Yarrowia lipolytica: one gene and its partners. The protein of the gene in region 2 interacts with the protein of the main gene of each other region in a pairwise test. Links are inferred from orthologs where the notes say so. Each region holds a gene or a part of one and is shown on either strand. Other genes may lie near its edges. The genes, in order: YALI1_E28170g, YALI1_A14390g and YALI1_C02831g.

Region 1 (9,844 bases), on a different chromosome or scaffold from region 2:
GACCATGCTTAGGGTGAAGAAAGGAAGGGCAACGTACCTTCCGAAGCTGGGGTACAAGCCTCCGCTGCCTGACGACGATCCGTTATGGAGCGGAGGTGACACCCGGAGCTCCCTGAGCCTCTACGACCATCTCGACTGTCCGAGCAGTCTGTGGCAGGATGACCACAAGCGGTTTGTGGCGTATAAGGGCCAGTGGTCGTTTTTGGATGGAGGGCGGACTCGCAAGGCTGGCAACGATGTGCGGTATGGACGAGAGACGGTGAACCGGCTGAAAAGTGCCGCTATGAACCAGGAGGGGCTTTCTGCGGGCCAGCAGCGGCGCAAAATGGTGAATCTCATGGCGCTGGGCGTGCGTTTGGCTGCCCGCAAGGCCATGCCCATCAAGTATGTGGACTGTGCTCCCCAGACGGAAGACTCGCTCAATGCAGATCACGCGCTGCTGGGCCAGGCGTTTGGAGCCATCGAAAGCGCATTGCACGTGGACATGAACGGCGACATGCTTGGGGCGCCTCCCCAGGACTGCAAGTATCTCATGACGCGGCGGATCTGGCGGATTCTGGGCAAGACTACCCTGGCCCCAGCACTCATGGGCTACATCGTGAGCTCGCTCAGAAACACAAAGGCGCACCCGCAACTGGTGATTGATCTCTACAGCATTTTCGCCCAGACCCAGTACGTCTACGACCTGCCGATTGGCAACGCATGGGGCTACCAGCTGAACCTGGACCGATTTTTCCGCTACGCCTCGCACCACGTGTGTCCGTCGCCCAAGCCCTCGGACCAGGAGCTGGCGCACCTGTGCTCGCTCTTTTCCAAATACAACCACGAGACGGGTCTGCCTCCAAACGTGCCGTTTTCGAGCCGGATCGAAAACCAACTGCCTCCAAACTGGCTCCATGTGTTTCTGCAGATCCTCAGAGACAGACAGTACCCCTGCGACGGCCGAACCTTCTCCAAACTCGCTCTACAAGTGTCAAAGGTGTCGCCCTCGGCACGCCAGGACCTCGTCGACTACCATCTGCAGCAATCGCAACGCTGGTGGTACCAGGACGAAAGCATCTTCTCGCTCATGTATCTAATGTGCAACCGAGGCGATGCCGAGGCGTCCATCGAGGTCATGAACTCGTCCAAGTTTGCCGACCGGTTGCTGGATGAGAAAACGCGCATGGGCGCCTTCCGCATGCTGCTCTACCGCGCAGTCAAGTTTGAAGGCATGCGAGACGGAGTGTCCGTGTTCCAAACAATGAAGGAAAAGGGCTGTGCTCCGGACCTGCAATGCTACGGGCTGTTGATCCACGGCTACAAGGAGCGTGGCTACTACGAGGAGGCCATCACCCACACCATGGACGTGGCGGCCCAAAGCTACATCCCCACCGAGATTGCCACAGACTACTTTGAGGCGGTGGCCAAGAGCAAGGACCTCAAGGAGACGCTGGCGGTCTACTGTCAGCTGTACACGCCGCATTCGCTCATGGAGCTGGGCATCTTTGCCTTTGTTCTGCGGGGCAGCGCCCACAACTCCATTCCGCTGGACGTTGCGCTGGGCGAGCTGCCGCAACTGGAGCCCCGAAAGGCCGGGTTCCGCGTCTACAAGTCCGACGTGGCCTCGTTGCATATCCTTTACCGCGCAATACTGGACCAGGCCGACCAGGTGGAGCTGGTGCGCGATCTGTACGAAAAGTACCGAGACCATGTAGCGGTTCAGCTGAGTAAGGGAGACCGGATGCCGGCGCGGTGGAAGTGGCTGCTCAGCGACATGGGGTTTGCGCTCATGTCTTCCTTCGTCTCGTCGGTTCTGCGCTGCACCGGCGACATTTCGCAATGTCTGTGGCTTGTCAGAGACTTTGTCGACGTGGCCAAGGTGAACATGTTTGCCCCCGAGGTGTTCAACACGCTGGTGACGGCGTCGTGTTACAGCGGGCGGTTCGATCTGGCCGAAGAGGCACTCCGACTGGCCATGACCATCAACACGCCCACCAACAAGGTGGTTTTCATCCCTCTGGACGCCCACATTCGCGCCGGACGGCTGGAAAAGGCCCGCGTCTTCTGGAACATTGCCGTCGACAACAACGACGTCTACTCGTACCTGGAGCACGTGGCGCTACTGCTGCCGATAGCCGACGAGCATGGCTGGAATGTGCCCCAAAAGCTGCGCGTCGCCGTGGACAAGTTCCTCGACGCCCAGGAGGCCAAAAAGGAGGCCAAGGCCGCCGGATACGCCAAAGACGACACAGCAGAGCTCGAGCTGCTACAGACGGAATCCAACGACGAAATCGCATCCCACGTCGGACTGGACCGGGACCCGGAGACGGAGACGGAGACGGACAACCAACCGATCCGCTCGGCCAGATAGCACCGACATTTTTCTGTATATATGCATGTGATAGGAAGGAGGAAAAAGGAATAGTATGACGACAATACATTATGATTATTACCAAGATGTGTACTTCTCGGGTTAGGCCCGTGTGGTGTGTACCCGTATGGTCGTGCAAGACCATTCATATAATACATTAATACTGTTACAAAGGGCTTTTGAAGGATCAGTCATGGGCAATCCAACCCAGTCTCCATCTATCCAACCCAGTCTCCACCCACCTCACAGATTCTTGGTGCCGACAATGGGATCAATCTCGTACACCAAGGCAACATCTGTACTGGTGGTTCCACTCCAGCCTCGGTCTCCACTGGAGGTGACCATGTATCGACAACTAGGATCGACCTTGATGGACGACAGAATACCGCCCTGATGTCCCGGCACAATCCAGAACGGCACAGCCTGCTGCTTGGAGCTCTGCACGTCGTACAGCCGAACATTGTCGTGAGAGCCGCACAACACGTGTCGGTTATTGGGCATGGCAGCCACGGTGCTCACGGCACCTGACACGGACGGGAACTTGAACACCTTAGATGGCTCGTGCACATTGCCTCGCAGCGAAAACTCCTCCACCGTGCTGTTTCGTCGACCAACGTAGATGCGGTCTCCGTCGGTCGACCAGCATGCACTCATACACCACGGCGGGGTGCCTTGAGGCACCGCAATTCGTGTGATTCGCTGCTGCTGCCGTCTATCCCAAATGTCTACTGTTCCATCAATGGCCGACGTGAGAAATATGGACTCCGAGGTAGTGTTGCGGGTCGGCTCTTCGCTGCCATCACCATCACCTGGCTTGACACTTTCGCTGGCCTCCTTATCTGCTGCCACGTCCACCTCCTCCTTTTTCACCTCGGACTCGCCCTCCTCCTCCTCGTCCGACCCGAACAACGACCCCATGCTTTTGTCGTCGTCTTCCTCCTCGTCTCCCTCGAGAATCTCTTTGCCCCGGGCCGTTCTGTCACTATCCAGCCCCTCTAGACCCAGATTTCGAGACACTATTGCGCCTCCGACTGGCTGATACTGCACGGTGCTGACCTGGCCAGAAATGCCGTCAAACGTCCGAACCACATTGCCCGTGTCCAAATCCCACTCGTTGACGGTCTTGTCCCACGATCCAGACAAGAGTCTGTTCTCCCACTGGTTGAGAACCAGCACCGATACCGTAGACGTATGTTTCTCGAGGTACGCCTGGATCTGGCCCTCGTTGTGTCGTACGCTCATCAGCGTGATTCCTCCACTCTGCAAACCCGAAAGCAGCCACAGACACCGCGAATGCGCCGCCAGCGAGTACACGCACGACAGCTTGGGCTCGTAGAGCCCATCCTTAGGCTTGATGTCTGTTTCATAAACGGGCTGTTCGTTTTCCCAGTACGACGTCAGAACGCCAGCCTTGGTCACACAGTCCACAAACGGATGCCGTTGGGCTACCGTCAGGGGCAGCTTGCCGTTGACGGACGCAAAAAAATCGTACTTGCGCACAAAGCCGTCCTGGCCACCGGTAAACATCCACTTTAGCTCCCACGACAGATCTATCGCATGCACGGGACAGCTGTGGATCGCCGCCACGTATGGCACAATGTCGTAGCCCTCGCACGAGTCTGTGTTGGTACAGAGCGGAATGTTTCTGCGGCCGGTGTACTTGAGCACATGTTCGGGAATGTCGCTGGAGCCACTGTCATCAAAGACAATGTGCGATCCGTTCGACGTCGACGCCGCCATGTGGCCGTTTGACTTGGACCTCGTCACCACCTCCTCGTCCTCCTCTTCCTCGACCTCTTCGTCTTCTGCCTCCTCGTCTCCATCGCCCATCACCACATCCTCCGTGTCGTCCATCTCCATGTTGTTTTCCAGCGCGTCTTCAAACAAATCGTCCTCGTTCTCATGCTGCTGGTCGTCCTCCTCCTCGTCCTCCTCCTCCAGCTGGTTCAGCGCCTTGTCGTCGAGAAAGTCGTCTTTGGACATTTGCGTGTCGTGCAAACTGGCAGTGTCCTGGAAGTATCGTACTTAGCTCCGCATGTTGCAACCGCCAAAGTTAAACGGGAGTGCACAGCGGGACAGAGGGGGACACGAGGGGGCATTTATATTCACAATGGGGCCACAGAGAGTGACACAAACACAAAGGTGAGAGTATTGTCATTTCTTCAGTAATTTCATCAGTCTTACGAAAAAGGAACTACTTTTAAAACGAGCATGAGAACGGCAGTATGTATCGAAACCCACTTAACTAAGATCTAATATTAGTCAACTAAACTAGAGAACCATTAGTTAAAAGAGAAGGAAAGGTGAGTGTAAAAATTAATATAAAAAATATATATAAAAAATAAAAAAAGAATAAAAAAGAACTGAGTAAGTACGAGTAGAAGAACAAGTACAAAATGTCAGTACTCGTACAAATAATTCAGTACTTGAGATCTATTCTATCCATCTATGAAAATTATCGGGTTCGAAAACCACCTGGTTTCATATTCCTGACAGCTGGGTATACAACTCAGTTACCAAGTATTGTAAGTACTGTAGGTAGTACACACTCCATTCAACCCACATTCTCCTCCAGTTCAAGCACTTTGGTTCTTCTGCCGTGCACTGATGACTTAAAGACCCTCTTTTCGTCGTTTAGATGCAACTTTTCGACGTTTTCGACTTTCTCCTAGTCCAGTCTTGACTGTAGACGCTCCTCGCTCCTCGCTCCTCGTTCCTAATCAAACAAAAACAACCGTTCAGACACCTCTTTCACCACCAGATCCATGCCTGCGTCCAAATTGTACCCCGTGTACGCACTGCAGCCCATTATGGTGGTGTTGTGGCCCTCGGGGATCTGGTCGAGGTCCAGATGGCCGCTGATGCGTTCAACGGTCTTGTCCCGCTGATCTGGGTCCACCAGATCCAGCTTGTTGATCCAGATGAGCACTCCGGCTCCAACCAGTCGGTCCTCGTTGAGAATCGCTTGCAGCTCTTTGCGGCAATCGTGGAGTCGGTCGGTGGCACTGGCGTCTACCACCCAGATCATGAAGTCCGTCTTCTCAAAGTAGTTTCTCCAGAAAGGTCGCAGAGTCTTTTGGCCGCCAATGTCCCAGATGTTGAGCTTGTACTGGCCCCTTGTCACCGTGCGGATGTTGAAGCCCAGCGTCGGAGACACCTCGTTCACGTCCTCGTTGAGAATCTTCTTGACTATCGTCGTCTTGCCCGAGTTGTCCAGACCACTGTGTTAGTACTGTTCCCTCTCACACCCAGACACGTCGCTTCCTCTCACTCACAGCATGAGCACACGGATCTCCTTATCCTTGAGCTTTTGTTTCTTGATGATCGTGAGTAGCCCCATTTGTCATGTCGCCAGGAAGAGGAGTTGTGGTGGAGCACATGACAACTGCACAGGAGAGGTTGGTGACAAGTGAAGAGATCAAATTGGGCGATTGAGTCGAAGGACTATGGTTGGAGTGTTAGATGCGCCAAAGGAGGGTGGTAAAGCGATGAGTAGAAAGAAGAAGAAAAAAGAGGGGGAAAAAAAAAACAGGGGAAACACACCCCTTGCCGCGACGCACTTGCCGCACTCCCACTCTCTCTAAGTAGAACATCAACATAACAAGTCAAAGTAACACATAACAGCACATGAACGCCATCTAAACCACCCGTTCCTGGTACCAAAATGATCCTCTGTATCTGAGGAATCCATTTCTTTTATTCTTTAGTCGCCTGTGAGAATAATGGGCAAGTTACAGTCGAATCTATATTACGCTTACAAAGTACTGGATGAACCGCAGAGTGTGTGAACATGTATCACAATATCTCTTCTGTCTACCAAATTCGCCAATCTCCTTTCCCCAATCGACAAAACCTCAATATCAGCCAACCTCAATATCCAACTCACCCCGCTATATAATGTATCATATTAAGGTTTATGCATACTGCACCAAGCATGCATACGCGGTCTCAATATATACCTCATCTCATATATAATTACGGCATATCGACCCAGCTATGACGGGATGGATATATTTGCACCAGGCGTTGCGGCTGCTTACGCCGTATCCGCAGGCCGTTCTCAACAACAAACGGTCGTCGGTGGCTGGCTTTTCGCTCGACTACGGACTCTGGGCGTTCGTGGGGGCGGTGTGTCATTTCGTCTTCACCCTCACATACATCAACAGCGATCTGGTCCATCGGCAGTTTGTGCAGAGATACCCGTTAGCGTTTGATATGCCCAGCGCGTCCGGGGTGATTGCCCTAATTGACTTGAACGAGTCATTGGTGTGGGGCGTGTGTGCTGTGCAGGCGTGGTATTCATACAGACACACCCAGACCAATGCGCAGTCGTGGTCTCTGGAATGCAAGGTGATTATGGGTCTTTTTTTCGGCGTGCTTGTGTTCCTGCTGATGGCGGTCAAGTCCCATCCCTTTGCAAAGGTGCCCTCGCCTCCTGGAGTCGGCTATCTGGGTATCAAGTTCATTGACGTGGTGGACTGGCTTGGAATCATCGGAGACTTCAGCGTCTACGCCCGTTACGTGCCGCAGGTGTCGTGCAACTGGACGGTGCAGAGCTGTGTGGGCTCGTCGTTTTTGCTCATTGTGCTGGATCTGGCGGGCGCGTTTTTCGGGATTCTCGACGTTCTGGGCGCCAAAAAGGCCAAGCCCACCAAGGAGAGAAACCGAAACAAAGTCGTGCGGGCCGTGCGTCCCTCGGGTCTCTTTTGGGCATGCTGGTTCCGCTTTTTCTGGGATCTCGTTCTGCTCTACCAGCAGGTGAAATACAAGGGATGTCGTCCTCTGGTCAAGAGGAAGTACGTGAAGCCCGTGGACGTGGAAGTGATGGGAGAAGAAGACGACAGCGATGAGGGCCATCGACTGTTGCGTTCGGGCGAGGTGGAACTGAGAGACATGGCGTGACCGTGAGGATAGAAAATCGTGATACACTGCATTTACATATTTAATGATTATGACATGAGAGGGTAGAGAGAGTGGACACTGCAAATCTCAAAGAGCACTGTAGTCGTTGTATTCGGACCCACGCCAGACACACTTGTCAACTAAACATTCAAGTAAAGTATCAGCTTGAAATCACATAACTGTGTCGAATGGGCGAGTTTGTAACAGAAATATCATGTCAATAGTATATATCGGAGACTGTGTGACACTGCTCTACAGTTTTATACGCTTTTTTCTCTACGAAAGCAACTGGAGCACCAGACAGAAACCCATCACAACTTCTTCTTTCAACTAAAAGTCAACTAAAAAAGACCATGCTATATGTCTCGGTTGCGGGCTTCCAGACACCATGAGAGAGATACAAGTGTCAAGAGCGAAGAATCTGAGACAGCTGTTTCGGTTGTGTCTTCTCACGTGATCTTACATTGCTTACTAATCCAGTACCAATAATAACCACTCTGTTGGCTGTGTATACTAAATCATGTCAATATATCCGAGTATATATAGAGAGGAGGTGTCTACTGAAACAAGTAATGATAGTAGAGATATTCAAAAGACAGAATTAATACATACGTAGACCCCAGGATAACCAAAAACCGTGCTCTTCATCAACATATTAACAATTCTAAAAGTGCATACAAGAATGAACACAACCTGGAATCGAACCCACGGGACCCGACACCACTCTCCAGACTACTGCATGGGTTGAAGAAAGGATGGGGATTGAAGAATGAGGTGATTATTGGTGTTGTTCGACCGACTTATGTGTAAACGAGGACAAGATTCCTTCCTACAACCACTTATATCGCTCCTAACTCCGATTCGGCTCCGACAGTATACTCTTGTCTCACGGTTGTTGCAGTTTCTCCCGTTTAGGTTGACTCTCTGTTAACCCGTACCCTGAAAAATCTATCTCCAGTTGACGCATCACCATACGAGCCCTCACTGACCGTATAACAGCACACACAACCATGCTGTGGAAGAAGATGTTTGGCAAAAGCGTGGCGCCGGCCTCCCGGCTGGTTGCCCTGCGGCCGTTCCACTCTACCGCCGCGCGATCCAACGACTGGTTCGGCAGCATGACAGAAAACAAGGAGTCCATCAAGCAGGATCTGGACAAGGCGACGGCAAACAAGAGATCCAAGGAGGTCGAGCAGAACGCCGACGAGACCAAGGGCAAGCTGCCATCGTTCAAAAACGACACCAAGCTGCAGGAGTACATTGCCGAGCAAAAGGGCGAGGCGGAGGTGGGTATTGCAAAGTACGGCACCGCCCTCAAGCAGCGGCTGTGGGACGCCTACCAGAGCCAGCACAAGGGCTACGACAAGACCAAAAAGGTGTCTGTCGACGGCCGGGAGTACCAGATGGTGCTGTCGCCCAACGAGATCAAGGCGTTCGAGCCCTCTGTCTACTGCAAGTCGTACCGAATCGACGGCACCTGGAAGAAGGCCCAGCTGCTGCTGCGAATGCTGCGTAAGATGAACGTGCGTGAGGCCATCACTCAGTGCCAGTTTTCTGCCAAGCGAATGGGCCGACCCGTTGCTGAGCTGCTCCAGCGAGGAGTCAGCGCCGCCAAGGACATGAACATTGACCCCGAGACTCTGTACATTGACGAGATCTGGGTCGGCTCGGACCCCCGAAAGTTCCGGTTCGTGGACCCGAAGGGCCGAGGACGAGCCGGCATGAAACACGCCGAGTACATCCACATCCGGGCTATTCTGCGAACCCCCGTGACCCAGCAGCGAGAGGCCCGTGACAAGGAGTACAAGCGCCTGGCCAAGAAGCCCGTGTTCCAGCACGAGACCCGAAAGGTGGGAGATGGGTACCTCAAGTCTGACTACCGATGGTAATGTATATAGCTAGGGCGAGTGACGAGCATAGCGCGTTGCTCGAACGAAATGAACAAAATGAGTAACCGATGAGCGAATAGCGTGCGAAACGAGTTGTTAGTTCTTAACGAGTAAGCCACCGAAGAATGAGTAACAGAAGTAGCAGCAACGGGGTAGCAGCTGGAACATATCAGGTGACGAGATCGCTTCCATGAAACAGGTGAAGATGATCTAAGAGCTCAGAGGAACGAGTACTGTATGTACCAGTTGATATGTAAATGACGAAGGGCTGTGCTTAGACAGTAGAATACACTAATCATCTGTCGAACATAATCTCGGAGAAGAGGTGTTGGTCATACGTCTGCACTTGCACCTACTTGTCAGGACATTTATATGAATGGAACAGTGTGATCTGGAGTTCTGACTATTAACATCTAGAAGTACGAGTATATATGTACTGTTCCAAGATACACCTTCCGAACGACTCCAACTTGTCGGGTGGTCGTTGGTACTCCATCATGAAGTGTTGCGGCAGGTTGGGCTACAGTCCAATTGTACCGACCATCTTCCTCCAAGTGCCGTCCCTCGGTCTGTGCAACTTATAAGTCTAATGAATTCATGCTATTTACTCGTCATCGAAGCCAGTGAGCTGCTCTCGAGCACGCTGGGGGACTCGGTTAGTATAGTAAAAATGGGGTGCAGTGGAGGCTGACGGTATGAG
Region 2 (10,049 bases):
CATCTTATCGCCATTTTTAATCGCCATCTTATCGCCATCTTATCGCCATCTTACCTCCGCCATCTTTAGCCATCTCTTTCTCTGCCCTTGCCTCTGCCCTTATCTCTGCCATCCATGAATCATCGAATCTGCATCACCCGTCAGCCTCTTGGGTCATAGGTCACACCAGACTCTACAATACTAACCCAGATGAGCTTCCCCCAACAAGTAATAGCGCCGGGCCAACGGCTCAACGAGCTTCTGGAGGCCATCAAACAGGAGTTCGACTCCGTGACCAACGAGGCGTCCGTCTACCGGCTGCACAAGGACGAGTTTGACGTCAAGGTGAACCAGCAGACGTCAGATCTGGGCCAGATTCGACAGTCGGTCTACGAGCTAGAAATGGCGCACCGAAAGATGAAGGAGCGCTACGAGGAGGAAATCATGCGGCTCAAGAGCGAGCTGGAGGCCCGAGGTGGACCCGCTGCGAACCCCGCACACTCCCAGCAGCAGCAACAGCAGCAACAGCAACAGCAGCAACAGCAGCAGCAGAACCAGCAGGCACAGGACCAACAAGCACGGGCCGCGCAACAACAGGCAGCCCAGCAGCAGGCCCTCGCCCAGCAGCAGGCCGCCCAGCAGCAGGCTCTGGCCCAACAGCAGGCCCAGGCTCAACAGCAGGCCCAGGCCCAGGCCCACCACATGGGTGGTGTGCCCCCTTCGCAAGGACAGCCCCCGTCGCTGCTGCGTCCATCATCCAACGTGTTCAGCGGCATCATGTCCGGTCAGCCCGGCACCTCTTCTCTGGCTCCCCCGCAGGGACAGCCCGGTCAGCCCCAGCCTGGTCAGCCCCAACCTGGTCAACCCCAGCCCTACTCCGGCTACGTGGGTGCTAACGGCTACACGTCTTCGCCACATAACGGACCCCCCGTCATCAGCGCAATGGCCTCGCCCAACAGCAAGAAGCGACAGGTGTCGACCCCCGTTCCCGGCAAGGCGTCTCCCCAGGTGGCCCCCCAAGAGATGCAACAGCAGCAGCAACAGCAGGGCCCTCCACAGCAGCAGCAACCTCCCCAGCAGCAGCAACAGAGCCCCGAAGAGATGGGCAACTACCTGGGCGACATGGACATTGAGCGGGTACCTCCGGAGCTCAAAAAACAAAAGGCCGACTGGTTTGTCGTTTACAACCAGCGAGCACCACGGCTGCTGGACGTGGATATTGTGCAGTCGCTGGACCACAACTCTGTAGTGTGCTGTGTGCGGTTCTCCGCTGACGGCAAGTACATTGCCACTGGCTGTAACCGATCTGCCCAGATTTTCGACGTGCAGACTGGCCAGCTCATCTGCCGGCTGCAGGACGACTCGGTCGACCGAGAAGGCGACCTGTACATCCGGTCCGTGTGTTTCTCGCCGGACGGTAAGTACCTGGCCACCGGCGCCGAGGACAAGCAGATCCGAGTGTGGGACATTAAATCTCAGAGCATACGGCACGTGTTCACTGGCCACGAGCAGGACATTTACTCGCTGGACTTTTCGCGAAACGGCCGACACATTGCCTCTGGCTCTGGCGACCGCACAGTCCGAATGTGGGATATTGAGAGCGGCCAGTGTACTCTAACCCTGTCGATCGAGGACGGCGTCACCACGGTGGCCATCTCGCCCGACGGCAAGTTTGTGGCTGCAGGCAGCTTGGACAAGTCTGTGCGAATCTGGGACACCTCTACCGGTTTCCTGGTTGAGCGTCTGGAGGCCCCTGATGGACACAAGGACTCCGTCTATAGTGTAGCTTTCACCCCCAACGGTATGGATCTTGTTTCCGGCTCGCTGGACAAGACGATCAAGCTGTGGGAGCTGCAGGCTCCTCGAGGCATTCAGGCCAACCAGCGAGGAGGCGTCTGCGTCAAGACGCTGTGTGGACACAAGGACTTTGTTCTGAGTGTGGCCAGCACGCTGGATGGGCAGTGGATTCTTTCCGGCTCCAAGGACCGGGGTGTGCAATTCTGGGACCCTCGAACGGGCCAGGTGCAACTCATGCTGCAGGGTCATCGAAATTCGGTCATCAGTGTGGCTCCTAGTCCCATGGGCGGGTTGTTTGCTACTGGAAGTGGAGATTGCAAGGCTCGAATCTGGCGATACTTTCCTGTCAACAGATAATCCTGGGCGGTCGCGAGGCCGGACGGGTGTCTGGCAGTTAACAAAGACATTAGATGTCTGGATGAAGCCTGCTCCGTTTGCACGCAATCTAGGGAAGACAGGGCTATGTAGTGTATAAAATTTTGTGGTATTATTATTAGACAAACATGGAGTTGTAGTGGTGGAGTATATGCGAGTGCAATACTGTATGTACTTGTTGACGATGGGGTATCAACGTGCTATGTATACTTGTACTCGTTCATGTTTACCCTCTTCAGACAGCTGGTGTTGACGTTTTGGTCATGTGAATGAAGATACCGGGTGGAGCCGAAAAGTGGAGCTGAAAATGTCCCCACTTTTCAACTCAGCTCGGTTTCTGCTCTCTTGGTTTTTGTCTGTGATTACTCTAACGCCAGCCTCTCTCTAATGTCCACTCATTCGCCACTTACCATGAATGGCTCTGGACCTTGTTTGCTCAATAGCTCCACGGCTCCCCGTGGTCCCCATGTTATTGATGCTCTCGGCACCTTTGTTGGCAACGGCTCACGGAGATCAGCAGCTCCACCCAGCCCGCTGGCCAATGCCACCACCATCAACGCGGCCAACGTCAACCCGTCCAACTCGGGCCTCAACCAGCCGCCGCAGGTCATGTCTCTCAACGAGCTGCTTGAAGTGCACAACGATCCGCAGCTCGACGCGCGACTGCCTCCCGAGAACCCCAACCGGCCCGTGATCCGCCACCAGCGCGAGATTCTGTACGGCAAGTGGAACATTGGCCCGTCACGGGCCGACAGACTGGCAGCCAAGATTCGCAACAAGTTTGGCCCCACGGCACGCAAACGACGCAAGGCCATCAGAGAAGACGAGAAGAAAAAGGCCCTTGAAGAACAGCCGCCAAAATACATGCTCACGGACTTCCACCATCAGCTGGTGCAGGAGATGCGAGTAGTGATTGAGAACCAGGAGGCGGTTTTGGAGCAGCTCACGAACCTGTTGTATCAAAAGGACGCCGAAATCGAGAAGATGCATTACGACATGATGTTGGTCTCCACTCCGCCAAATGGGACCCTCGCTAGTATTCGGGAGGAGCCCGTGAGGCGGTTTGGCGGAGGTTGTCGTGAGTAGTGTTTCAGTGGTGATAGGACCCTCGCCAGTGGTGGGAGGAGCCGTTCTCAAGAGGCATGGTCATACGTGTGGGTCCACCAAACCGCATTATCAGGGCGTATATGAGGCATCTGTGAACTAGATTGAGGTATGTTAGCTACAAGTAATGGACAAGTTGAGTGTTCATTCATCCAGAATGTTTCAAAGGCCTGTTACTTCTCTACAAGTACAGGAACAGATATGAGCACAATCACAAGCACGAAAGTGACCAGAATTCAAATCAATTCCATCATCTCCTCGTTTCAATCTTCCACCATTTTCACTCGAACCTGTTCTTTGACCAATAACATCTTATGTCTTCTGAATTGGATGGACATAACTGGATCACGTCAAACCGAGCAGAGAGAATTCCAGTCAGTGAGCAGGTTCAAGCACGTCATGGAACGACTATTTTACAAGTACTTGTACTTGTACTTGTACAATATACCAGGTCAATTGAACTTCAAGATTCGTCAGTCGGAAAACGTGAAAGATATCACTCACCTCTTATTCACCCTAATTCACCTTCTTGCTCACATCCATACATCTGCCGACTCCGTACTAACCCAGAATAGCCGCTACTACTGACAACGAAAACAGTAATATTGGGAAATACTTCCGACAACCAACAAAACATCGGAGAACTCCAAACCTAACGTTCACTGATCCACTGAAATCCACTCTCCGAAGATACCCTACTTCTCAATACTCTTCATCTCCATACTCTTCCAATACTACAACCGTTACACAACAACCACTTTCAGCCCGTCAAAACACCGACTTATTCCATCTCAGCCAAAGTTCATAACTGTCATCACTTATTATCACCATTCAACGGAGGTGTAAACGTACAATACAAACTACCGTACCCCTTACCCTGTACCCTGTACCCCAACCCTAACCCTATCATGAACCCCTCAAAAAGAAGGTTGAAGTATGGCGTGGTCAAATTCAGTTACCCGGCCGCAAAACGCAAACTTTATGCGATTAGTAATCACAATAGTACAATCAACTACGAAACGCTACGACTTTGGAGGACACAAATCCGGCGAAAACAACGCCCGAAGATGATCTTACGAGTGGCTAGAACAATGGTATCCCTTCGCCCCCTCATTTCCCCGCAGTCAATAGAGTTTAATACGCCACTGGTAGCGTATATATCCGAGATGGCCTCAACTTCCACAACCTTCTCACGGAACCCTAACCCACAGGTTTTGGGAGGAGGCGGCGCCCCATCGATCACGAGGTTTGGAAAAAACGGCGTGCTTGACGAGGAGGAAAAATTCAAAAAAAAACAGGCCGTGACGAGACACACAATCTTTCAGGCGACACAGCGAAATCGACGACAAGACCAAGCAGCCACAGCGAGAGGAAACGGGCGGAGAAAAAAACCACACCAACAAACAAATAATAACTCATCTCGCCACGCAACATGGCCAGTCGACGATCAAGATCTCATGCGGTTTCGTCTGCGGAGCCGGAATCCAAGTCCACATCACCGCCGCCCACAGACGCGCTGCTGCTGAGACGGCTACAGAACGCGCTGACGTTACCCAACTCGTTTCTCAAAACCAATGGGATCGATCTTTCGGAAGATGCACGTGTTTCTGTGAACGGGCTGGTGGAGCTCCAGAACGAGTTGCGGCAGATTCGACAGAGGACCCGTGGCGTGCTGGAAAACCACAAGGCCGTGATTCGGGCCATCGACGAAACGGTGGGACGCCGGGAGCGAAAGGGAGGCAAGAGCGGAGGTAAGGGTGTCGGAAAGGGCAAGGGAAAAGGACCCAAGCAGAGCAGCAGCTCGTCGTCAACCTCGTCGAAAACAGCAGCAGCAGCTTCTGGAGGGTCTTCTCAGACCGAGAATAAGGACATCAAAATGGAAGATGTGGACGAACTACCCGCGGAAAAGAAGATTGAACCGGTCAAACTCAACATTGATAGCGATCTAACCACGATCCAAACCTCTCCCCCCGGAGAGGGCTCCCCCAAGGAGTATGAAAAGAACCCAAAGTCCGAGTTTGTCGACTCCCAGACGCTGCCCCTGTCGGTGCTCAAGCTCTACGACGAAAAAACCATCCCTTACACCGGAGAGGAGGCTCTCAAGCTGAAATATGGAGTCGCCTCTTACCCTACCACGGACCTAAAGGACCAGTTGGCCGGCCCAATCCCGGACCAAGACTACACTCGGGCCAAGCCGCCCAACCAGGTGCAGTTTTCGACCTTTGCGACTGCGATCGAGCCCTACTTTCGACCCTTTTCCGAGGAAGACGTGTCCGTGCTCCTCCAACAGTCCATCCCGCTTGGAGCCACGGGTGCTCCGCTTTACGCCACGGGCAAGGATGCAGAGATCTCACCGTACCTCGTGCCCCCTTTGGGTCCCCCCTACACCGACGCGTGGGCTGCTGAAGACGCCGAGGCAGGTATTGCTGCTGGCAACGCAGCCTCAGCGTCCCGGTTCTCGCCGCCCCCAAAGACGGAGCTCGCGGAGATTGAGCCCAAGGGCAAGAGCGAGGATCTGGTGGACGACGCGCTGGAGAGCTCGGACATTAGTTGCGGCCCTCTGGCGTCGCGTCTGCTGTCTGCGCTGCTCCCGGACCCCAACAAAAAGGAAATCAAGGAGGAGCCTAAGGACGACGAGAACAGCGCGACCCCTGCCGCCGCAGTGTCGTCTTCGCCTCCACAAAGCCCGCTAATCAACCCCAGCTGGAAGGTGGCGACAGCCAAGGGTGACTATCTGACGCTGGAGCAGCGGCTCAAGCGCGAGTTTACGTACGTGGGAATCATGGACGTGAACAAAAAGAAGCAGGGCAAGCGGTTCTCCAAGCGCGACGACGAGATGGACCTCATGGACGATCTTGACGACGACGAGAACAACGAGGACCTGGAAATCGACTGGGTGCACGGCCGGGAGGACGACGAAATCTGCCAGCAGATGCGCGTGCTGCAGAAGAAGCTGCGCCAGGTGCACAAGACCAACCAGGCACGCAAACGTATCCTACTGCCCATCGTCAAGGAGCAGATGGCGTACCAGGAATTCCGGCAGATTCTGGAGGACCTGGACAAGCAGGTGGACCAGGCCTACCTCAAGCGGATCCGCAACCCCAAGTCGAAAAAGAAGAAGCAGCAGAACAACAATGGCACCGCTGTACCTCAGGAGCGGCCCGGTCTTCGAGTGCTGCTGGACAAGCGAAACCGGTGGATCGACAAGATTGGGCCTGTGTTTTCGTCATCTCCACACGACATGAAACGAGTGCCGTCTGTGTCTGTGTTTAAGGATCTTGAGGGCAGTGATGATGAGAGTGACGGAGGCGAGTTTGACGACTCCATGTTTGTGCAGTAAGACGCTGATGTGCAGTAAGACGCAGATGTGGGTGCTGGGAAAAGGGTGGCTATTGCCGCCCCATATAGTATATAATAGAATGGATGGGATGGTGACAATTGAGGTGGTGACAGATGGCAGTTGCGTCGCGTAGAGGGTCAGCGTACTTATATTGTAGTGTGTTCTGAGGTCTGAGGGGTTTCAAGACAAGAGACAAACAGAGGTCCGAGGCGAACATTGTGCCAGCAGTTCGTACAGAATGTACGACATACAGTACATACTGTACAGAAATGTACTTGTAGTGGCAGACTTGAAACATTCACAAGGAGATTTCCGACATGTGCCCGGTAAGAAGCCCTTGTAGCCACGGTTTAACCCTGCTGTAGCTGTAACCATCCTCTGGCTCACAGTAACCATGCGGAATGTCCAGCCCTGTTCTAAACTCCATTATTGTACGGAGACAACTGCTTTTGCTGGGTGACTGACAGACGGTGATCAAGCGACGACTGAGGTAAGCAGTAACTTGGTGGCCGTAGTGGAGTGGCGAGCGGGGTTAGGCGCGAAACATGGAGACACTAGCGGTGGTCACGGGTAGTCTGGGTGGTTTGAATCCATGTTGAATGTCTAGTATCATTCCTGGAGACAATGAGTCGTCATAGCCACTCTATCTGATTGTGGCATTCTTTGAAAGGAAGAGTGTAGGAAGAATGGGCTGAATGGTGAGCGAGAGTGGGAGTGGGAGTGGGAGTGAAAGAGTGGAAGAGTGGAAGAGTGAAGAGTGGGTGGAAGAGTGAAGAGTGAGTGAAAGAGTAAAGAATGAGTTGAAAAGTAAAAGTGAGTGAAATAAAAGAAGATATAAGTATTTGTCAGTCAGTCATTCAAAACCATCTCTTAACAGAATGTCACTTATCTCACTACAAGACAACAACATACAATACCGTCAGATCCGTGATACCAGTACAACCACCGTACAGAAAGTACTCGCGCCCGAAACAAACATTCTTGTACCTCAAATCCATCATATAAGACACCCACATTGCAACATACAACACCCACACTTTGCTTTCCCGTAAACCATGCTCACTCTGCTAACTCTTCTCACTCTGCTCACTCTGCTCACTCTGCATCACATCAACTCCTAAAGCATCACGGCATAATCGCCGAATAAAAAGCGTAGGAGGTTTGTCAAATCTCGTGACCACCAGTACAAATCTCACGTGACGAAATAATATGACAACCTCCACGTGACCCGTTCTTTCGCTCTAACCGGCATTGCTAAACCGCGCATAGCAGCTGCATTTGCAGGACAGATCAAAATGCGTTTGTCACGCAAGGTCATGTCGGGCACAGGGCTAGTGCACGACGTTACGGCAGTCTCATCTTCATCGTTAAATATATACAGGCCATTCCAGATGGCTATGCTATGCAAGGGACGTGACGGTGAGGGAGGGTGAAGGGGAGGGGGAGTAGAACGGAGTCAGGCTGGTTCAATTGGCGTAGGGCTTTGGCGTAGGGCTTTGGCGTAGGGCTTCGACGTTGGTGTCGGGCTTTGAAGTAGCTCAAATGACTCAACTCGCAACTCGATCCAGAACTCGCAACTTGATCCAGAACTCGTCTCGTCCTAGACTCGCTCCGCTCGCCTAGTCCTCGCCTAGATCACGACCCACGCTGCTTCTCATCACCCACTCGCTTTCGAGGACAGTAGGGACACAGTCCGTGGGTGCATCGCTTACAATCGTAGCGGGTGGGCGGCTTGCCGTGGTACTCGCCACACTGACAGCAATACCACTCTGTGATTGTGTTGGGGTCCGAGGGGTCCACCATGACGACCAATTGTTTCATTGTGGCAAGTGACGTTGGTGATGTGGTGGGTGGAGCGGGGGCAAGTGTATATATAAGTATGTGCTGTTCCGGTTTCAACAGCAGGTTGGGGCTGTCTGATCAGTCGGGTGTGTGAGTGAGTGTGAAGTTGGGGGTGTCAGGCTTGCTGGATATTTTGGGGCTAGCGGTCAGACACGGGACAGTTTGAGACTGAAACGGTGGGCGTGTTGATGAGCGCGATCTTGGGTGACTATGGCGGGTTCTTGGGATGACTATCACGGGTTCTTGGGTGTCTGTGTCGGTTTGGTACGTGGTCTAGAGGTCGGGAGGCGGCAGATAAACAAAAAAAGAAGCCGACTGGTGGGATACTGTTGATGTCTGGAGACTCTTTCTGTCTCTTTCTGTCTCCTCTCTCGGAGTCCACCCTCTCTCCTTCTCTCCAAAGTGTGGGCTCAAACATAAGCTCTTATGGTTTCGGCTCTTTGGGGCCAACTCTACCCGCAATAGACGCTTTAGCTCATCCGCAAGTGATGCTTCAGGCTCCATTGTTTTTCATTTGCCGAAACACAAATCGGAGGAGATGGAGATGATATAAGTTCGTCGGTAGTGGGAAGGCACGAAAGGTGACGGGGAGAATGGATACACAATCTTGCTCTCGCTCCGCGGTTAATTCCTCTTCAGCCGTTCTTTTTGGCCCGTTCCTTACTCCATCCTCCGTTGACGGCCCATTACAGTTCCTGGTTTTGCCTCTGGCACCCTTTGCGAGCCCAAAACAGCACCGTCCCAATCCGGGGCCGCCGATAAAGGGGCATCTCTTTTCAAAACGGCGAAACTAGTACCTGATTTGGGCGCTGCAGGCGTATCCAACCTGCCACCGGCATATGACGGCCTTCCACACGTCGAAAAGCCCGCAAACTCCGTTGGCGCGACTCCAATGGGCCGTATTGGCCTCTCGTGACGGTGCTGTCAGTTGACTGAGACATGCAGTGGAGTGCAGCGGTGCAGTGGACCGTGGTCAGCACTGCCTGTTTGCATGCAGTAAAACAGAATCTGAAACATGGCTGAAAATGCGCATCAGGTTGGGCTAGGTGGTAGTTCGTGCTGGTACATACAGTACGAGTACGAGTGCGAGTACGAGTTATCGTGATATGACCATAGGTGATAAGCTTCCCCTCTGTCCACGTGAAGCTTCAACAAGTGTCTCAAATGGTCGACTTGCCACAGGTACAATTACGATAGTCGGTTTTGTCGCTTTGACCGTCAAAGATCAATTCGTCCCCAACTTACACCGAGACCGTACAACTGTCGGGTGACGACGTATCGTACATATGATGCGTACATCCCGGTAATACATACTGTACAGTTCCTGTCGTACATACAGACCATTCAGGCACCCCTCGCTGTATACTACGATACGAGTCGTGCTAACAAACAGTCAGAATGCTATTTGATCTCGTGTCCAGGTCAATCCAACAGGATCGACCGCCACGAGCTTCATACTCTATCAACTATCATGAGGATGGCCCCAGATGCATAAATGCTGTCCACGGAGATGCACCGGGAGCTGCATAGTGGTGACGATTTTCCCTATACTATACGGCTCAAGGGATTTGGTGCAGTACCGAGTACACACATTGGTGCTCACATTGGTCTC
Region 3 (10,727 bases), on a different chromosome or scaffold from region 2:
CTCCACCGCCTTGGTCAGATACTTGCGCCGCATCAGCACGTCCGTGGAACACACCAGCGAGTTGAAAATGTACTGCTGAAACGACCACGAGATTTTGAGCTCTTTGTTGGACGTGAATACCTTGATGAGGCCGAACACCATGTCGATGGATGAGGTGGACGGATCACGCGACTTCAGAAACGCGACCGCAATGTTCTGCAGCGTCTCGATGGTCTGCTCCGTCTGAATGTGGATGGGGTCTGTGGGTAGGGTTTTGGATACCAGAGCAGGCAGGTCCTTCACGTGGCCCACGAGCTTGGAGAGGAGCTGGGGGGTCATGACAGGCTTGATTTCAGCCGTGGAATCCTCTGTCTTGGTCACTGCCTTTGTCTCACCGTCGGCCTCTCCCTCCTCCTTCTTCTCCTCCTTCACCACCTTGGGCTTGGCTGGCTTGGCGTTCACAGAAGCCACCACCTCAACCAGGTTACAGATGGCAACTGCTCTCTGTCCACCTTGCAACTCGCCAATCTTGGCCACCAGTTCGTCCATACGGGTGATGACCACGCCTCTGAGCTCGTCACAAACGTCCTCGGTCAAAATCGAAGAAAACAACCGACCAAGTGTTCGGTCCTGCAGCTTTGGAGCAAAGTAGTCAAACGTCTGCTCGGGGTAGCAGTTGAAGAACTTGCCGACGGGCACCCTGAAGGGACTCTTCTGCTGACGACGCAGATTTCTCTCCAGATATACAATCATATTGACAATATCGTTCATGAATGTGTGTGCGGTAGACGGCAACAGGTGGAACACGTTCAAAATGGCCACGATGATCTGTACGTTCTGCTGGAGAGACAGGTTATGAGTAGCCAGTTGGTGGAGAGTCTGAGGTTCAGCACAAGCTCTCAGGTGGTCCAGCAGCTTGCGGCCAATCTCAACCTTGAAATAAGACGTCAGGAGCTCTAGCAGCTTGGCGAGGCCCTGAAGGCCGGCCACGGACAGTCGCTTGTGGTCCGACAGCGACATGAGAATAGGCTTGAGTCCATTCTGAAGCAGGTCTTTGGGCAACTTGTTCTTGTTGGAGAGAACAGACCGCAGACCCTGGTGGGCAGCTTCGATAACGGCGTCGGATCGCGAATAGAGCGTCTTGAAGAATACGGCAATGATCTTGGACCGAGTGGGAGGTGCCTGGATCGCCGTGTACTCGGTCTGGGCGAGTGCAGCGGACAGCAACTTGATACAGACGATTCGGAGTTGCACGAGTTGCTCGGCTGTTCGCTGTTCGAATACTCGGTGAGCAGCAGTTAGAGACTCGTCCTCGGCGTCAACCAATGCCAGAGCTTCCAGAATCAAACGAGTGAGCTCGTCGTTGAAGGGCAGGAAGCCGTTGCCGAGACCCAGGCAGTAGGTAATGGCGTCAATGTGGCCAATCTGCATAGGGAAAGGCAGAGCTCGCAGCGGCTTGCCGAAAATTGGAGCCAGTAGAATAGTTTTGACGGGCTCAAGGATGGCAGACACGGACGCAGACTTTGTCACTTCAGCAAGAGTAGCCAGAGCCTGCTTGGAAGTCTCCCGCACGGAAATGTTGGCGTTGCCGAGATCGTAGGCTAGCAAACCAACCACCTGCTTGAACGACTTGTCTGCCATCTGCTCGGCAGACAGATCAGTGTTGCAGCGACGCAAAATGTGGAGATAAAGATTTCGAGCCACATCTCTCACGTGACCAGGCACATCCGGGGGCACGTCCTTGCACACAAACAGAATGGTTCGGGTGAACTCAATCTGCTTCACCTGGATCCACCGCAGTGGACAGTCCAGGTCCTGCATCAGCGTCTTGAGACCTAATACAGCGCCGTACTTGCGGTAGTACTCCTCCTCGAAGCAGCCATGCGAGAAGCGTCTATACATGGACACGTACAGAGGGAACTTGAACGCTAGCTCCTTGCTGCCAAATACAGTAACACCGGTGTTGAACATATGCTTAATAGCGTCAATACCTCCTTGCTTGATGGACTCATTGTAGTGGCTGAGAGCAAACATGATAGCGCCAATGATTGCCTTGCAGTCCAAAAAGGTCTTGCCCTCATGTTCGTTGAGATCAAACGAGGTGAGTTCCTTCCGTTTGTCCAAAACATATCTACCAAGGTTCAGGAAGACAAAATGGTCGCACAGGTTGTGAATAAGCTCAGTGGCCTCCTCCTTGACAGCGTCGATGGATAGAGAGAAGAAGAGCGACTCCAGCAGCATCGTCAGTAGCTCATCCTCGAGCTTGCGCTTGACGGGGTACTTGACTTTACCATCCTTGAGGTGGTACTCGCCGTTATCCTTGGATTTGGGGAAACCCTCCATCGTCAGAGCAGTCACCGCCTTCTTGATAGTCTCGCTCATATCAGATGCAATAGGATGAGCGTCGATCAGCAGTTTCAGGCAGCCCGACAGGTACTTGAACGCACTCACCCGGTACTCTAGACGCCGCTTGGAGTCCTCCAGAATCGCCACAGAAGCCTCCAGAGCAGGCGTAATGTTCACAGGTAGCTTTTCCTCCACGCCCTGGAACTTGGCCACGATCGCCAGATCATTGTGCACCGCGGAAATCGTCTTGAGGTTGTCGGGAGGAGTCAGAAAACGTCTGTTTCTGCCACCCAGCTTGCCCAGGATCCTCAAAGTCGTATGCGAGTGCTGATGGTAGTACGGCAACGGCTTGAGATGGTTCCACAGCGCCTGCATCACCTTGTCCATAACGGGCTCGATGATGGGGTCAAAGTACTCGGCCGTGAGGTTGTCGACGCAGAGCTCGAGAGTCCGGAGACCTTGCGACACGAGCTCCTGAGAGCCGTTGAGAGCAACGACAAGCGGAGACATGAGGTAGGAGAGGTGCGGGACGAGCACAGAAAGACGCACGGGAACCGTGAGACACAGCTCGACGTAAATATCTCTCTCCTGTGGCTTTCTGGCAGTCAGAAGCAGCTTATTCAGTGACTCGAGCAGCGACTGGAGCAAAGGGAGCACCTCCTTGTATAGCAGCTCGAATCTGCCTCCTCCAATGCTTCGGAACAATGTTCGCAGCAGGTAAAAGTACACGATTGGGTCCTTGCTGGTGGTGGTCAGTTTCATCGAGTCGATAATGAGACTCTTGAGATGTGGTAGAAGAACAGCCTCGTTCTGAGCGGGGAACAGGTTCACCGCCATGAAACACAGCTTGAAGAGCCGGATCAGAATGTTTGATTTTTGAATGTTTCCGTCTCCGAGCTCAGGGAGCTTCTCCTTCAGAAACGAAATCAGCAACGAAGAGAAGTTGGCAGAAGTAGCTTCGGAAGCCATGAAGAATTGGGGGATGTGAAGCAGTGCAGAATTGGAGAACATGGCGTCGTAGAGAAAGGGGAGCTCGCTCTCGATGATCTCGTTGAACGACGCCGAGTCAATGTGAATGAACACGGTCACAAATGTCTCCATGAGATCCTTCTCGGCTTTGGAACTGACCACAGGCAGCGAGGGGGCACCGAGGTCGTTGTTGGCGACCGTAGCGGTCTTGTCGGTCACGTGAGAGGCGAAAAACAGATGACCCTTGATGCCCTCCTCAAACAGCTTGCGGAAGATAGTAATTTGCTCAAAGTTGAACAGTCGGGCGGACTCGTTCCACACAGCCTCGCTAATGTCGGCAATTGGACATGGTGGGTTGCACGACTTGAGGCCAAACATGACCGTTTTGAGGAAGTTCATGAGGTTCTTGAACAAGTAACGGGCGTCCTCGAGGGGATCCGTCGTGGGAGTAGGGTGAATCTTGATCAGCGACGACGCCTGGATCTCAAAGTAGTCAAAGTCGTACTCGGATTCGATCCGGGGCTTCTGCGGGACGACATCGTTGGACTCGACCTCGTCGACTTCTAGGTCCTCGGCCTTGCGTTTGAGCCCAGATGACTCAGCAGAGGTTCCCAGCTTCACGTCAACCTGGATGTCCTCCTCGGGCTTGACTTCAGCAATGGGTTTGTCTCCACCTTCAGCCTTCTTCTCAGCCTGCTCTTTCAGCCACCGCTCGTGGCCCCTCATGACATTGGGATATGTTCTGTTGAGGGCACCGAAGAGCTCTGTGAAGGCATTCAGAATCAATACCATGGTCTGACGGCCCTCGTTGCGATCCTGCAGCTTCATGATCGGGTCCACAAGGTTCAGGAGCAGCTTGGCACTCATAATCTGGAACGAGTTGGCCAGCGACGCGTCCAGCATATTGGCGCAGTACACCTTGACAGTCTTCCAGATTTGCTGGAGCGTCAATTCGCTGCGCACGTGGTGAATGAGATCCGCCATGATAGAGTATGCCAGCGGCTTGAGCGTTTCTCTGACTGTCAGACCATCACCAATCAACACCCGCTCCTCCAGCAGAATGTCAATTTTGGGGATGAACATGGTCCTTATATCCGTCGACGTAATGTGTCGAGCGGCGACCAGGAGCTCCTTTCGAGCGGCGGAAAGCTCGCAGGGGCAGTCCTGAAGAAGACGCACCACGAGATCGGGAATGATCACGTGATATTCCTGCAGAAACGGCGGGAAGCCTCGCAGCGCGTATGCCAGAAACGACATGGTCTTGACCTGGCAGGTGATGAAGTCGCCGTAAGCCGCGCGGTTGCGGATCTGGGGCGAGATGGTCGTCAGGATATCGCCACGAGCCTCGGCCTGGGCATGGGCCTCGGCCTGGGGAGGGGCTTGAATTCTCAGCATCTCAATCACGTGAGGCAGGAACTGAGGCAAGAGTGTGGGCACCATGGCTCTGTGGGTGGAGAAGAGCAGTACCACAATGATGGGGCACTCAATGAGCACCTTGAATGAGAACAACGACTTGGCCAGGGGGCGAGAAGCTGCTCCGCCAGGTGTGGCGACGCTCACGTCTCCGTCAGAGACTAGAGACGGCGACATGGGGGACTGGAAGTTTGAGGAGCCGGTCTGGTTGACGCCAAACGTGTCCTTGACGACCGAGGGGATGTTCTTGTAGAGGTCGGTGACGAGCTCAAGGAACTGGGTCACGTGGTCGCCGCCCAGGTGCGCCTTGTAGCCCTTGTGCAGGGCCGTGAGGATTTTCATACATGTCACTCCGTTTTCTTCGTTGTCGGTACGGAGGATGGACATGATTTGCTCCAACAGAGCGGAGGAGTAGGGTTTGAGGAGATCGTTGGTTTGTAGACGAAGGAGTATTTCGAGGATCGATGATCGGAGTTTCTGAGTTAGTACGGGAGGTGGGGTGAGTGACTAAGTGAAGAAAGGCAGACATACTGAGAGCCATAGTGGCAGATGTCATTCATCAACAGCAGCAACAACTGTGACAGTATCCTCCAGTCCATATTAGTCACTCCTCATCTCTGAGATTGAACCAGGAACCGAGTGAGATGAGAGGTGATTGTTGTATCTCGTGTGTCGTCTGCATTTATCAGGTTTTTCTCTTGCCATTCCTCTAGAATGATTCTATCGTACTCACTTGCTCGACGGAAATACTCGTGAAAGACACGGGGGTGGACTCCAAGATTTTGGTGTATACCGGCATCATCTTCTGCAGATAGTATTCGTAGTCTGCGGGGGAAGATTGAAATGAATCAACGGCATCTCGGAGTTCTGACGCAGCGACTACTTTTGATTTTAGGTCTGGGTTAGCGGAGTTCAATGGAGCTCCAAGAGCGAATGGATGAAAGGGCAGAGCGACGATATGTTGCTCTCGAGATGATGGCGATATGTAGCGACGAGAATGCCAAACCGAACGATTTAGACCGGTGAAGGACGATATGACAGACAGTGTAGCATGCATGGGCGAATGGACGCTGGAACGGACGAATATGAAGTGCTACAGTAAAAGTGGCAGAGTCCGTGGTGAGGAACACTGTTATGCCAGCCTTTCAAAAGTAGCAGAGCCCATAGTGTCGACCACTGGTGTTATGCCAGCGTCTCTACAGACAATTCTCACTGACCATCACAACACCACATCCATTTCGCCCAAAAACCGTCGAATGAGCTCAAAAAAACGTGATCCTGGCTCGTCTCCATCGTGTTATTCACCCTATCCACCTCTTTTGTCACTCAGACGTCTCCTTCGCATTTTGTCGAGTTCCATCACTGGGTGTCTCACACCTCTCCGCCTCTTCACCTGCTCAATACTCACCGGAATCATCGCTCAGACGGCTGTGGAACGCATCAACTTGCGCCTGGGTTGAAGCGTCGCGCATTTTGGGCTGTGACGGGCTCAAAAACGATGTGGAAATGTGATGTGTGGAGCAAAAGAGACTACCGAAATGTTCGTGAACACCAACTGGGACATGCACCTTGTGAAATTTCCTTACGTAAGCGTGTATAGGGTTGAAAACCGATAAATGGCGAGTGGGGGGCGGTTTTTTCAAAATTGAAAAGATTTTCCCGTGATATAAGCGATTTCGAGTCGATCTGTATATTGAGATTTTCAATAGCTCGTCAGCAACACATCCGAATGCCCGTCTCCAATTTCGTGTTTAGCTTTCCCTTCTGGTCAGTGGCTGGGAAAGTTTAATTTTTCTATGAGAAAAGTGATCACCCTCGTTAAGGACCAAATATTGGGTGGATTGAAAATCTGAGTGGATTTATGGAATCAGCGTATCTTGAGCTCCTCCCCGATACCAAATTTGAAGGTAAAAATCAAGAATTTTGGCTGATAATGGCAACGTCTGGAATCTGACAAAAATGTGGGAACCCCGTTTGTGAAATTTGCTTATGTAATCGTACATAAGGTTTCGAACATTTAGACGAGAGAAGGCATCTCTTAGTAAGCGTGTACCAATTGTCTGGCGCTTAGTAAGCACGTCCTACCAAAATGCCGTAGTGAGGGTGGGGAGGGAAAAAGAGAGGTGACGCTTACTTACTTGCGTCTAGCACACTCCGATACGGGGAATCGAACCCCGGTCTCCACGGTTCTCGACTTGAGAGCGTGATGTGATAGCCCCTACACTATATCGGACTGTTTTGTTCCGGAGGAGGATGCAGGGTAGATGTGAAAGACGGGTTTTGGGGCGACATAAAAAAACGGAAAAAGTGGGATAATGGAAAGGGGAGTTGATTATAAGGTTCCACTCGAGTTTTTGAAGTTGTGAGGGTGTTTTTTTGAGAATCTGGGGTGTTTTTTGACGGAGTTGAGGTCAGTGGAGGTTGAGCAGGGCTGGATAGGAGATGGGGAAGCAGGATATGACAGAAGATGGGAACAGGACTTGATGACTTGATGAGGTGATCAAACCCGCTCCGCTGAATCAATTGTGATTGTCGGATTTACTATAGAAGCTGTGGATGAGGAGATAGATGAGCGATGTGTGTTTGGAAGATGAAGGTGAACTTGTATACTGCACCCTTAGATAAGTCTCTGTTACGTAATCAGATTGTATGGCAGCAGAATGTTGGGAATTCAGTTGTTTTGTGGTTTCCACTCAGACATTTTCATACACTTTTCATCTACATTCTGGTCTATACACGGTCGGATCAGCTCTCATATTCCGACTCATTTTTGAGGGCACAATTTCCGAGCCGCATGAGCAAAAGGCGAGATATCTAGGAGATAAAAACCAGTAAAGCATTGGAGGAATACCCTGGAAGGAAAAAAATAGACCCGTTCTCGCTGTGTGGAATTCAAAAAAATCACTGATCAGCTAGAAGCTAGGGGAATTAAACCCCCATATGTTCCTCCACTGTCAGTTCTGTTAGAACTTGACATGGACAGGAATTGAACCTGCAACCCTTCGATTACAACCAAGTTGACTGGAGTCGAAAGCTCTACCATTGAGCCACCACATCAGTGATATTATAATTTTTTTCTGTTTGGACCCAGCTACAGTGAAATCTGGCTTTTTTTCCCCCATTCATTTTTCTGGCCTTACAGGGCGTAATGGGCGAGGGGACTGATTGTGGAAAGTTGCAGAGGGCTCTATATACATTCACACATACAAAAACCTCGATAAATGTTGATCTGATGCCTCTGGGGGTTGTTTTTGTTGGGGAGAGGAGAGAATGTTGTATCAACGACAGCAGAAGGACTAGAATAAAACAAAACAAAAAACACGTGTTTCAAGTGGAAGATTTTAACGGGAAATTCGATTAGAAGATGAAAGGAAAGGTGTGAAAGCTGTCGTCATGCTGTTGGATGATTTTCCCCATTCAGGAGGGTATTATCTCCATTAATGTCAACTAAATGTAACTATACTCATGAAGAGAACTAGGCATTGATACATGGCGAAACAGCCCAATTTCGCGATTTCACAAATACAAGTGAGCTGATCTTTTCACAGATAGATAATAAGATCACGTGACCGTCGTATTAGTGAATTTTAGTCAGCTGTTAAAGTCCCTGATTTGTTTTGACTGGCCATGTGTAGGATATGGGTCAGTATCATTAGTTGGGTTTACTTAAGAGCCAACTAAGCAGCCACATGTTCCACATGCGCTATAAATTTCGACTAAAAAACCCGTATTATTTCAGTTGGAGGTTGAACAGGCGACATAGATACTTGAAGATGAGACCACCGAACGTATTGGCAGTTTTCAATATTCAGTCACTGTTTCCCTGGTTACTTGTACCAGAACTGGGTTGTTACTTAAACTACATCACCACCTAAGATCGTCTCTTTCTCTTCTCCATCTCTCGAGATATTCTACACCAGCTCATCATCTCCTTCTAAACACCAGCTCAACCTCTTCCATGGCCATAAACATTGGACAGCTCAACGCGCAACTAGCTGACAGCAAGGCTCGTCTGGAAGCGGCCCGAATCAGAAACGACCAGCGACTGAAAGATGCCAAAAGACACAAATCCAACTCCATCGGACGCCCCAGATGGGTATCTCCGACCAGTTACAGAGCGGGACAGGACTCTGCACAGCTCAAACACGCCAACCGGATCACTTCTGGCTACAGGGACGCCAGTACACACGCTACAAAAGATGCCCAACAGAGAAGTGAAAAGTTTCGACAAAAACCCCAAACTGAAGGCCAACGGACGTCATATGCTTTATCTAAAGCTACCCCGAGAAATGTCCCTTCAATAAGACACGTCCAGCCTGCCAAATACAAAAGAACCACTCCACAGTTGGACTCAGCAAGACTACAGCAGACTGTTAGACGAATGGCGACTACTGAGAAACAGTCCAAAAGTAGATTTTGCCGGGAAAACAGCATCCTTACGTCGACCGTCACCGACCCCCGTCTCAGTTTCTCAGAGGCTCTAGCTACATCTTCCCCCAACGTCAGCCGGGCCGAGGAGGAAGATGTGGCGGTTTTGGCAGTCCGGTCGGCTAAAACAGCTCTAAAAAGCTATCTAAACGGCACTATTTCTCTCAGTCCACAGCTATTGTTGCAGTTGATTAATTGTGTTTGTCAGGACTGAGATGAGTAGGTATGTACAGCAAGAGTCGTTAATGGGGAGATGGAGGGCTCCAAGAAAGGACATCTCTACCGTGAATGACAATTTTCTTGTTCTTGTTACCAAAGTATTGATACCAAAAGTGTCTATTCAGCAGTCGGTTCCCTCTGGGTGGTCAACAGAAGAACCATGCTGTTGATTTAATCGGAGATTTTTACCAATCTAAGCTGTCTAATCCCGGAATGAAGACATTGAAGTAGGTACCTACTACAAGCACCTACCGGTACAGTATCTACCTACTCGTCGTCCCATGTCACCGTTTCTACTGCCATTCTACGGCGTACCGTTCTTTGATGGGAATTTTTGAGGGCAAAAAAACCACCAAGCTATTCTAGTCTCAAGAACAACCGCCCTCCAGACTTAATGGGCCTTTATCCACTCCTAGTCTCACCCAATGTGTGTTGAAATACCCGGTAAGGTGATTCCGGGTCAGTTCCTCACATAATGATCAGAGCTCATGACACAGTGATGAGAGGAACCAGCCTGGTAGTAGACGAGATGTCCATATTAGACGATGTCCTGTAGATAGGTTTATCTACTGATCTAGAATTTTTCTGGCGAGTGCTACAGGAACGTGGTGTCCTTGCGATGAGTCGTTTTATTAACTATCCCTAACTAATAATACTTATGATATTCAATAAAGTGTTCTCTCTAGAGCACCCGTTTTTTAGTCCCAACTAAATTTTGTTGAAAACACAAGCAGAAAGAGAACTCTGCAATTAAGGTAGAAATAAGAAATAAAGAAATACAAAAAAAAAACGAAAAATTAGAAAAAAAACAATAAAAAAGAGAAAAATAAATAAATCAACAAAATATAAACGCCTCATTCAGGCAGTGCAAAAAGAAGGTCCCACCGAGATTCGAACTCGGGACCTTAAGATTTGCAATCTCACGCGCTACCGCTGTGCCATAGGACCGAATGGAAACCATGGAAAAAAAGTGGCTGGGTGATATCCTACTAGAATAAAAAAATAGTTTAATGAATCATTAGAATTAAAAAAAAAAGGTTTTTTAATGAATCATTAAAATAAAAAAAAAGAATAAAAAAAAAGGTGAGAAAAACGAAAATGGGCCCGTTTGAAAGCCGATAAAGAAAAGAAAAATACGAAACTATTGACAATCGTCAGATGTACCTCTGTCGAAACTTACGTGCCCATTGAAGCAGAATATACGCGGGTTGAGTGGTCCGAATGTGGACGTGTTTAGAAGTGAAATTCTGGACTTGGTAATGTGCCAGACTTGTTTCTCTTCTCATAAGACAACATTGTCCGGTAATGCCCAGTACACATATACATTCCTACTCCATTATCGGTCTGATGCCTCTGGCAAGTCTATCCCACAT

Evidence for each region.
Region 1: the proteins of YALI1_A14390g (region 2) and YALI1_E28170g interact in binary tests that used the Saccharomyces cerevisiae proteins (3 or more experiments, as listed by UniProt). The link is inferred for Yarrowia lipolytica from reciprocal best matches to the Saccharomyces cerevisiae genes NGG1 and SPT8.
Region 3: the proteins of YALI1_A14390g (region 2) and YALI1_C02831g interact in binary tests that used the Saccharomyces cerevisiae proteins (3 or more experiments, as listed by UniProt). The link is inferred for Yarrowia lipolytica from reciprocal best matches to the Saccharomyces cerevisiae genes NGG1 and TRA1.

What each region holds. Positions count from the first base shown.
Region 1 is NC_090774.1:2,811,488-2,821,331, reverse strand, and holds YALI1_E28170g (uncharacterized protein), read right to left. Parts: upstream 4,337-9,844; coding exon 2,597-4,336; downstream 1-2,596. Other genes in the region: YALI1_E28213g (uncharacterized protein), read left to right, coding at 5-2,353; YALI1_E28156g (uncharacterized protein), read right to left, coding at 5,070-5,574, 5,629-5,693; YALI1_E28150g (uncharacterized protein), read left to right, coding at 6,350-7,255; YALI1_E28130g (mitochondrial 54S ribosomal protein uL22m), read left to right, coding at 8,266-9,144; YALI1_E28107g (uncharacterized protein), read right to left, coding at 9,749-9,795. UniProt on the Saccharomyces cerevisiae protein: Component of the transcription coactivator SAGA complex. SAGA acts as a general cofactor required for essentially all RNA polymerase II transcription. At the promoters, SAGA is required for transcription pre-initiation complex (PIC) recruitment.
Region 2 is NC_090770.1:1,434,323-1,444,371, forward strand, and holds YALI1_A14390g (uncharacterized protein), read left to right. Parts: upstream 1-4,687; coding exon 4,688-6,595; downstream 6,596-10,049. Other genes in the region: YALI1_A14345g (uncharacterized protein), read left to right, coding at 190-2,133; YALI1_A14368g (uncharacterized protein), read left to right, coding at 2,539-3,237; YALI1_A14377g (uncharacterized protein), read left to right, coding at 3,367-3,843; YALI1_A14414g (uncharacterized protein), read right to left, coding at 7,012-7,080, 8,009-8,165, 8,235-8,416; YALI1_A14430g (uncharacterized protein), read right to left, coding at 8,516-8,710, 8,765-8,941. UniProt on the Saccharomyces cerevisiae protein: Component of the transcription coactivator SAGA complex. SAGA acts as a general cofactor required for essentially all RNA polymerase II transcription. At the promoters, SAGA is required for transcription pre-initiation complex (PIC) recruitment.
Region 3 is NC_090772.1:277,996-288,722, forward strand, and holds the start of YALI1_C02831g (uncharacterized protein), read right to left. Parts: upstream 6,180-10,727; coding exon 6,116-6,179; intron 5,605-6,115; coding exon 5,441-5,604; intron 5,185-5,440; coding exon 1-5,184. Other genes in the region: YALI1_C02866g (uncharacterized protein), read left to right, coding at 8,666-9,349; YALI1_C02873g (uncharacterized protein), read left to right, coding at 9,381-9,519, 9,574-9,692. UniProt on the Saccharomyces cerevisiae protein: Essential scaffold subunit of the transcription coactivator SAGA complex. SAGA acts as a general cofactor required for essentially all RNA polymerase II transcription.